Linked DNA regions of Caenorhabditis elegans. The protein of the gene in region 2 purifies or fractionates together with the protein of the main gene of each other region. This does not show direct contact. Each region holds a gene or a part of one and is shown on either strand. Other genes may lie near its edges.

Evidence for each region. The genes of interacting proteins can lie anywhere in the genome.
Region 1: the proteins of ubl-5 (region 2) and dylt-1 fractionate together in Caenorhabditis elegans (co-fractionation; one large-scale study listed by BioGRID). This does not show direct contact.

Annotation. Positions count from the first base shown.
Region 1 is NC_003279.8:7,299,325-7,303,306, reverse strand, and holds dylt-1 (DYnein Light chain (Tctex type)), read left to right. Parts: upstream 1-2,393; 5' UTR 2,394-2,412; coding exon 2,413-2,454; intron 2,455-2,556; coding exon 2,557-2,764; intron 2,765-2,884; coding exon 2,885-2,955; 3' UTR 2,956-3,242; downstream 3,243-3,982. Other genes in the region: Inositol monophosphatase ttx-7, read left to right, coding at 338-415, 618-754, 868-972, 1,081-1,235, 1,280-1,400, 1,881-2,142; BAH-4 (Glycosyltransferase family 92 protein F13G3.3), read left to right, coding at 3,345-3,433, 3,495-3,719.
Region 2 is NC_003279.8:5,606,697-5,610,960, forward strand, and holds ubl-5 (Ubiquitin-like protein 5), read right to left. Parts: upstream 2,146-4,264; 5' UTR 2,141-2,145; coding exon 2,028-2,140; intron 1,339-2,027; coding exon 1,230-1,338; 3' UTR 1,130-1,229; downstream 1-1,129. Other genes in the region: tns-1 (Tensin homolog), read right to left, coding at 789-821; vha-10 (putative V-type proton ATPase subunit G), read right to left, coding at 2,892-2,990, 3,229-3,363, 3,412-3,558; trpp-8 (Trafficking protein particle complex subunit 8), read right to left, coding at 3,912-3,962.

The DNA.
Region 1 (3,982 bases), 1.7 Mb from region 2:
TCCGTTTAAATTTTGCATTTTGCGTTGTCTCATTGGTTCTCAGTGACTCCAATGTACTTTGATGTTGCAAATTTTTGTGTCTGGTCATTTTTCTCCCTCGTCGTTATCATTTTTCCTAACAGAACATGGGAAGAGATTACTAGGTGTCTCTGCGTCTCGTGTCTCCGAGTGATCTCTAATTTTCTCGCTCCGTCTGCTCGCGTCGTTGGAAAAACGACTCTGGCGCGAGTTAGTTTTCCTAATAGACGGCTTCTCCGTTTAGCTTCTTTAATTTATTTTATTGTTTTTCGGCAAAGTGGTTCCCTTCAGCTCTTTATTCATTGATTTTAAGTTTTAGATGGTGTTCCAACCAATCCACGAGGAAGAGCAAGTTTTCGTCGACTACGCCATTGAGTTGGTTAAAAAAGCTGGAACGGTGAGTTGAATTCGGATTAAAAAATCAAACTGTTTCCTAAAACAACAACGTCGTTATTATCTTTGTCTTATTTTTGTTAATTTTACAAATATGCACATTTAAATCAAATGCGTAACTCGAAAAACAACATTCTCTATTCCTCAGTTACGAAACAAATTTTATTATTTGAAAAAACATCAATATTCGAAAAAAACATTTTCAGCTCGTCCGTACCGCGTTTGACTCCCCGGAAAGCAAGGTTGACACAAAATCATCGAATACTGATTTGGTGACTGAAACTGACCAAGCTGTTGAAAAGCTTCTCATCGAAGGGCTCTCCGAGAGATTCAAAGGACATAGGTAAGAGCAAGGAATTCCCACGGTCCGCTCGATTTCACTCATTGTCTCCATGACAACCAGTTGGACTTTCTTTTTCAATCGAGTATTTACATAAATTTACTATTTTGATTCAGATTCATTGGCGAGGAATCTGTAGCCGGAGGTGCGAAAATTGAATGGACTGATGCACCAACATGGATTATTGATCCGATTGATGGAACTACTAACTTTGTTCATAGGTAAGATTTTTTTTAAATCGGACTCTTCAAATAATGGCAAATCGCGTTATTTAATTTCTAATTTGGACTCAAATTTTTCTCGAAAAACAAATTCTTATGTTATTATAGAATCCCTATGATCGCAATCTGCGTTGGACTTGCAATCAAAAAACAAATTCGTGCTGGAATCGTATACAATCCAATCACTAATGAACTTTATCTCGCTCAACTCGGAAAGGGAGCTTTCAAAAATGGATTTCCAATCCGAGCATCAAAGAATCAATGTAAGTAATTGCACTTTTCTTGTCATGCACCCTGCTTTTTGAAGTGCTTTCAAAGGGAGTTCTCTGTCAATCTCTCGGTCTGCATAATCGTGTTCAGTTCGGCGATCGCTGGCTCGACATTGCCCAGTCAAACATGCGAAATCAAGTGATGGCTGGTGTGCGAGGGTTTGTTTTAATTTTTTGGTCTAAAATTGATTACTTTTTTACAAAAAATATACCTCCACACTTCCCGCGCTGGTTTTGCACGTTTTACTTTCAATTTTATTTACATTCACATAGAAACGTTGCAAATTCCAGTCATTGCGGAAAGTGTGCTCATACTTCAACTTGGCTCAATTCGATCTCCTGTTATGCAGAAATCATTTGTTGATTCTTACAAGACTGTTATGTTCGACAAACAATGTCACGGGTACTTATAAATATTTTTTATATTCTTGTCGAAATCTAGTGACTTTCTTGAACTGTGCGTTTGCAAATTTTTTGAAAGTTTTACTAAAATTGAGAAATGGATAAGATGGAAAAGTTAGATGTTGGATGGACAAAGTTTAATATGAAAAAAATCACGAGGATGATGTGATATTATTATTTTTAATATTGTTATACATAATAAAAGTTATTTGAAAAAAATCCAAGTTTTTTTTTCAGACACCGTTCGTTTGGCTCCGCCGCGATCAACATGGTGATGGTTGCACAAGGAAGTTGCGATGGATATGTTGAATACGGGATTCACGCTTGGGATGTTGCTGCTCCTTCTATCATTGTCACAGAAGCCGGAGGTGTTGTCACTGATCCAACTGGATCCCCATTTGACGTCATGTCAAGAAAAGTTCTCTGCGCTGGAACAGCTGAACTCGGACGCGATTTATCTGCATGCCTCACTCATGTCGATTTCGAGCCGGAAGCCTAAATATATATTTAACTATTTATTTTCAAAACTCACATATTGTGACATAACATTCCTACCATAACATGCATTATCTGTATTTCCAATTTAATATTAGTTTTTTGATTTTATTTTCTAGTCGTATGTATTCTCGTTTTATGAGAATAAATTATTTAAAGATGTTTATATCTTAATTTCTGATACTTCAATTGCCGTTTGAGCGCACTTGATTTATTTATACTGTCTCTTTTTTAATAATTAAACTCAATATTCAGCTCTCACAAGCTCAACATCATGGCTTTGGCAGAGGAGGACGTTCACATGATCATCAAGCAGGTACCGATATTTTATATGTCTACTGTATTAATTCTTTGAAAAACTATAATTTTTGAGTTGATTATTGTTTATTCACATTCTCGTAATCCAATAATCTTTCAGGTACTCGACGAGGTTGTAGGCGCAAGCACCCAGTATACCCACAAGGACAGTGTTCAGTGGAATCAGAAGGCCGTCGAACAAATAACGAAGAAGCTAGTGGCAGCGGGAAAACCATACAAATATGTGGTTACCTCGTCGTTCCTTCAGATCTCGAGCGGTTCCGGTCTCAATGTTAGCACGATTTCCTACTGGAATAAAGTCACGGATTGTGAGTTAACATTTTGTATTAAAACATTAAATAATAAAGAGGGAAATAAATTTATTACTCACAAAGTTCTGATTTTGAAAGTTGGTATTCAACTTATAGCTCAAAAAATCTCATTTTCAGCCTCGTACATGTACCGTTGGGAAGCCAAAACAATGCTTGCAATCGTCTATGTTTTTGCAATTGCAATTTAACAATCCACAGCTTCATCTTATATGTCTACTCTGGTTTTCCTCGTTTACCGCCAATTCTCCCCTTATTTCTGATTGTTTTTTTCTTCCCCATTCATCACACACTATCATGTTTTATATTCAGACCTATTACCTGTCCAGAAAAACTGAGCTGAAAAAATCCGGACGAGCAGCTCCTTCACATTCAAAATCTTCCATCATTTCCCCCACTCAATTCATTTGTTTTGTCTTTGATTTTCAAATTTTTTGCCTTATTATTTTATTGCTAAATTAATGAAAACTGTTACTCCTCATTTTGACCGTCGCACTCATTGAAGGTAGTTCGAGATTAGATGTTCAGATAACTTGCGGGACGCGTTAGGACACAAAACAAGTGCGTCAGATCAGCCAAAATGCTTCCACGAATAATTCCATCGGTTCTGTCTGTGGTATTACTTTTTTCGTTTTTATTTTTTGTAACGGCAGTCTTACTTCAATTTATGTAAGTATTGATAGTTAAAAATTATCACCGTTCAAAAATGATTGAAACGATAAATTTCCAGTCGAATCGATTCACCAGATCTTGAAAATGAAGAAGTATTTCATTCGGCACCTTATGATATATTCATTTATTCTGCATTTTATTATAATAAATCAAAAAGTCTCGGAGATTCTTCAATGGTTATTCTGATGACTGCTGATTTTGAAGTTTTGGAAAAAGTTAAAAATCTTGAACTTTTGGGCATAAATGACACGAGTCGAGCTATGACATCTGCTGAATTGGAAAGGTTTGTGTATTTAATTTCTTATTTTTGTGTTGATTCGAAGTTTTTGAGCTTTTCGGCACCAATTAAATAAGATTTGAAAATTCAATGAAAAAATTCAAAAAAAAAACCAAGAAAGGGGCGGAGCTTATTCTGAAATTTTGCAGGATCGGTAATCAACTATTTCCTATGATTAAACCGTTCAAAACTAAAGGCAGAATAATCTAATACCTTGGTTTTTTTTGAAATTTTTGCATAAAAGTTCCATGTACCTAATAGATGTTTTT
Region 2 (4,264 bases):
TTTAAGGCGCACGCAATTTTGCCCTACGTCTCATGAGTTTCTGAAAATAGTCGATTTCTGAAAAAAAAAAAGTTGTTCTTTTTCCATTCTCTATCTCACTTCTCCACTATTTTGCTTGGAATGTGCTCAGAACCTCACGATTGTTTCAAGCCTCTTCCGTTGGGAGGTAGGGTGTCCACTATTTGGAAGCCATCCAAAACGAAATAGTACTGGAGACGAAGAGACGCAGAGAAAAGGTAAACGGGCCGCCCGTACTGTTTTTACGCGCTCCGAAGGGACACATAGATAAATAAAAAAGAAAATGGAAAAGAAAAGATGATGAGCCCTCCGAAGAGAGCTTATGTCCTTCTTATTTTACTACTGTTGAAGTAAATACAAGGGAATGACAAGAGAGAGAAAAGAACTAAAAGGAAATGTTTTCAAAAGTGATTAACATTGGTTTTTATTAGGTTTTATAAACTGGAAATAGAATACAGTTATACAATTGAGATTATTTCTGAATTTTCAATTAAAGTTTTTATTTTAAACAAAACTTTAAAAAATAGCTATTTAATTCAAAAGCTGTGGTGACCAAAAAAACGAACGGATAATCCAGATTTTTATTGTGAAACGAGGTCAATACGACTGCTTATTGATACCATATGTTTGAATATTTCTATTTAGAGAAACTTTTTTTTTAACTTTTGAGATATTTTTTTATTAATTTTCAAAAGTTGTTTTATTTTTGTATTCTATAAATATTTCATTTTAAGCTTTCGGGATTCAAACTTTTCAATTTAAAAACGTACCCTTGAAGCACAGCACAGAGCTGCAGCAGCCATTGCCCTTGGTCTGAAATGTCTTTTAGAAGTAATATTTTTGAAAATTCAAAAAAAAAACATCTGCAAAAATTAACTATCCACTGATTTTTCTCTATCCACACTAAACTGTTTCGCGCAAACACATTGATAGGCGAAGAGAATTAGAGAGAAAAAGAGAAAAAATCGGACAAAATCTTTTGGGTCGAACAAATGGGCGGAGCCTACTCGGGTGGGAGCGAAGAAAGAGGGAGTGGTCAAACAAGACGGCAGAAATTAATGGGGTGGAAGAATGAATATAAGATGTTTTTAAAAGTGCATTTAAATCAAGAAAGTGTTGAAATTTATTCGAAGTCAAAAAAAATTAAATTGAAATTCATGAAAAGTTGAAAAGTAAATAATTGTTTAAAAAATGAAATGAATTCTGATGAATCATTGGTAGTAGAGCTCGAAATTGAATCCCTCGTGAATCTCGTAATCCATCAATGTGATATGATCCTTGTAAATGGTGTACCACTTTTTCAACACGATCTTTTCCCATCTGAAATTTAATTGATTTTTTTTTATTAAACAATAAAAAATGTATATTTCATCACCAAGAATGGCGGTCGAAATTTATGATCAAATTACAAAAAAATCAATTATTTAATAAAACACAGGGCTGGGAGGCAAGTTTTTTTTTGCAAAGTCGGAAATTTTTCGTTTTGCAATTGTTGTAAATTTTTAAATTTTTATTATAAATTCTGCAAAATTAAATGCACTATTTTAATGTCCTAGAACTATTTTGACATGCAAGTAAAATCTATGAAAATGTTATTAATGTTTTTTCTCATGTAAAATATCTTGGAAAACTTTGGGCAAATCGGCAAATTGCCGTTTTTCAAATTTTCAATTTGTTTCTAATATATAAAACATACGAAAATAACATATGCGAATAGCCGCATGAGATGGCAAAACACAGAAAAATTGTATTTTAAAACGCGATTTCCTAGCTCGAGATCATTTTAATAACGACTTTTTGTGCCATTTTTGATTTTTTTTAGTTTTTAAGTTCTTTTTTTCCTTTCAAACGTTTTAACTTCTAACTTCTAAAGTCTATAAAAAAGCTAAATTCTTTTTTTTTCAATATAATTGATTTTCAAGTTTAAGAATTCAGAAAAAAAGATTGTGGGATCATCAGTCAATTTCAAAAAGATTATCAAATTCAAAAAGGTAATTTTCAAATCTCACCGTGTTCCAGTTTGTGCAGCGATCAACTTCTTCAAATCTCCAATTGTATCTGATGGATTGCACTTGATTCGTACTTTTTTTCCGAGTCGATCGTTTACTGTGATTTCAATCATTTTTCCTGAAAGGTCAAACAATTATGTATAATTTAAAATATTCACAAATTTCTTAAGAAAATACATGTATTTTGCAAGAAAGCAATGAAAATTCGGTATAGAAAAACATTAATGCAATTGCGCAATAAATAAATATAACTATTTCGAATGTACGTAAAAACACACAACTCGACGCGCAAATGCAGACTTGCAATGTAATCAGTAAACTTAAAGGCGCATGCACCAATTATTTTTCAAGAACTCAATTCTCGCGGCGAGACTCAACCCTTTGAAACTTAAAATTAAAACTTACTTTTTTTATTTGAGCGTATTTAAAAACGAACTTTTTTAAACATAAACTGCTTAAATTTTGCTATTTTTTCCAAAAATTAATCTCGGAATTATAAAAAAGCGCAAGTATGGTAAAATCTGCAGTTTTTGAACATAGCGTTTCACACTTGCGAAAAACCTCTTCTGAATACGTTTATTGATTAATTCGTAGAGAAAGAATAATTTCCAGTTTATAATCAGCTCTATAAAACCTTTATTCGACGAAATACTTTGACGTATAAGCTTTTTCTTTGTAAATAGTATACAATACGTCGTCACAGAAAAAAAAGTGACGACTATAATTTTTTAATTGAAAATGGAGAATTCTACAGAATTGGTTAGAAATTGATGGGAGAGGGATATCACATCATAAAAGTAAGGGGCGGGACTTAGCGAAAGTTGGAATGATCAGAATTGTCAGAGATTAAAGAAAACGAAAAGTTTAGGCAGCGAACTGTCCGTGAAGTTTCTTCTGGAGAGTCAAGTTATGATGGAGCTCTGGCTTGATGTCGCAAACGAGTTGAAGGAGACGGACAATGACCTGAAATTAACGGATTTTATTGAGATATTATGCAACTTTCGAGAGTGTGAGCCAAAAATGTGTATGTGCCGTTTTACAATAACTATATTTTAATTTGGTGACAAATATAGAAATTCAATAAAATTATTTTAGAACATTTTATTTAAATTCGAGAAATTTTTTTTGAAAGTTCTCCAGTAAATATTTTGCAAAGTGCAAAAGATTTCCCAAAGTTGTGTGGAAATTTGTTCAAACTCACAGCTTGCTTGTTTCCAGCCACAGATTGCTTCATTCCACTGATTTGATCCTCAGTATCACGACGAATCTTGCTCTCAATATCTTCTTTGGTTCCCAAGTATTGTTGTTCAAATGCCTTGAACTCTGCCTCGCGTTGCTGAATAATTAGTTTTTTAAAATTTAAATTAAAATCAATATTTATTACCTGCTTGTACTTCTCCACCTCAGCTTGAGCCTCTTGCTTGGCCTGCTTCGTTCTCTGCAACTTTCTCTTACGAGCTTCGTTGATCTTCTCAGCGGCACGTTTCTCAGCGGCCAAAAGTTGCTGAATTCCCTGGGTTTGTGAGGCCATTTTAAGGTTTTCGGTACTGAAAATGATTTAATTATTTTCACAGGATTTCGTGATTATTCTTAAGATGTACATATAATAATTGGAAAAGAACCGAGTCAGCACAAGACAAGAAAAATCAATAAATTTTGAGAATTTATGCATAAAATTATAAGAAAAATGAATAAATACGAATAGAACTGAAACTAAAATATTGAAATAAAAATAACACATAAATTTTACATGAAAGATGGGCGATTTTTGAGGCAAATATCAAAGGGAAGTTTAGAAAGGGACTAAACCCGTTGAAAAAAGCGATTCTTGAGTAGAATATCACAGGAAGATGTGGAAAATGTGTGTAAATGATTTGAGATACTTCAGACAACTGTATATGATGACGATTTGACGACCGATAGCACACTCGGAACCTGCAAAGGGCGAAAATCAGTTGGCAAAAAGAGTCAGATTGTGGTCTTTGTTCAGAGATGTGCAAACACCGTCTCATTCAGAATTGCGGACAGGGCAAAATAGTTGACGCGCAAAGTTTTTATGCAATAGCCTCTTTCGATAAACTTTTCGCCAAAAATAAGGTGCCCGTTCTCGACATGCCAAATTTTTATTACATGCGTGTCCCTTTAAAGAGTACTGTAATTGCAGTTTTTCGTTTTTTTTTCTGTTAAAATTCATGGTTTTTGTCGATTTGCGCCAGTTAAAAAATTTTTATTAAAAA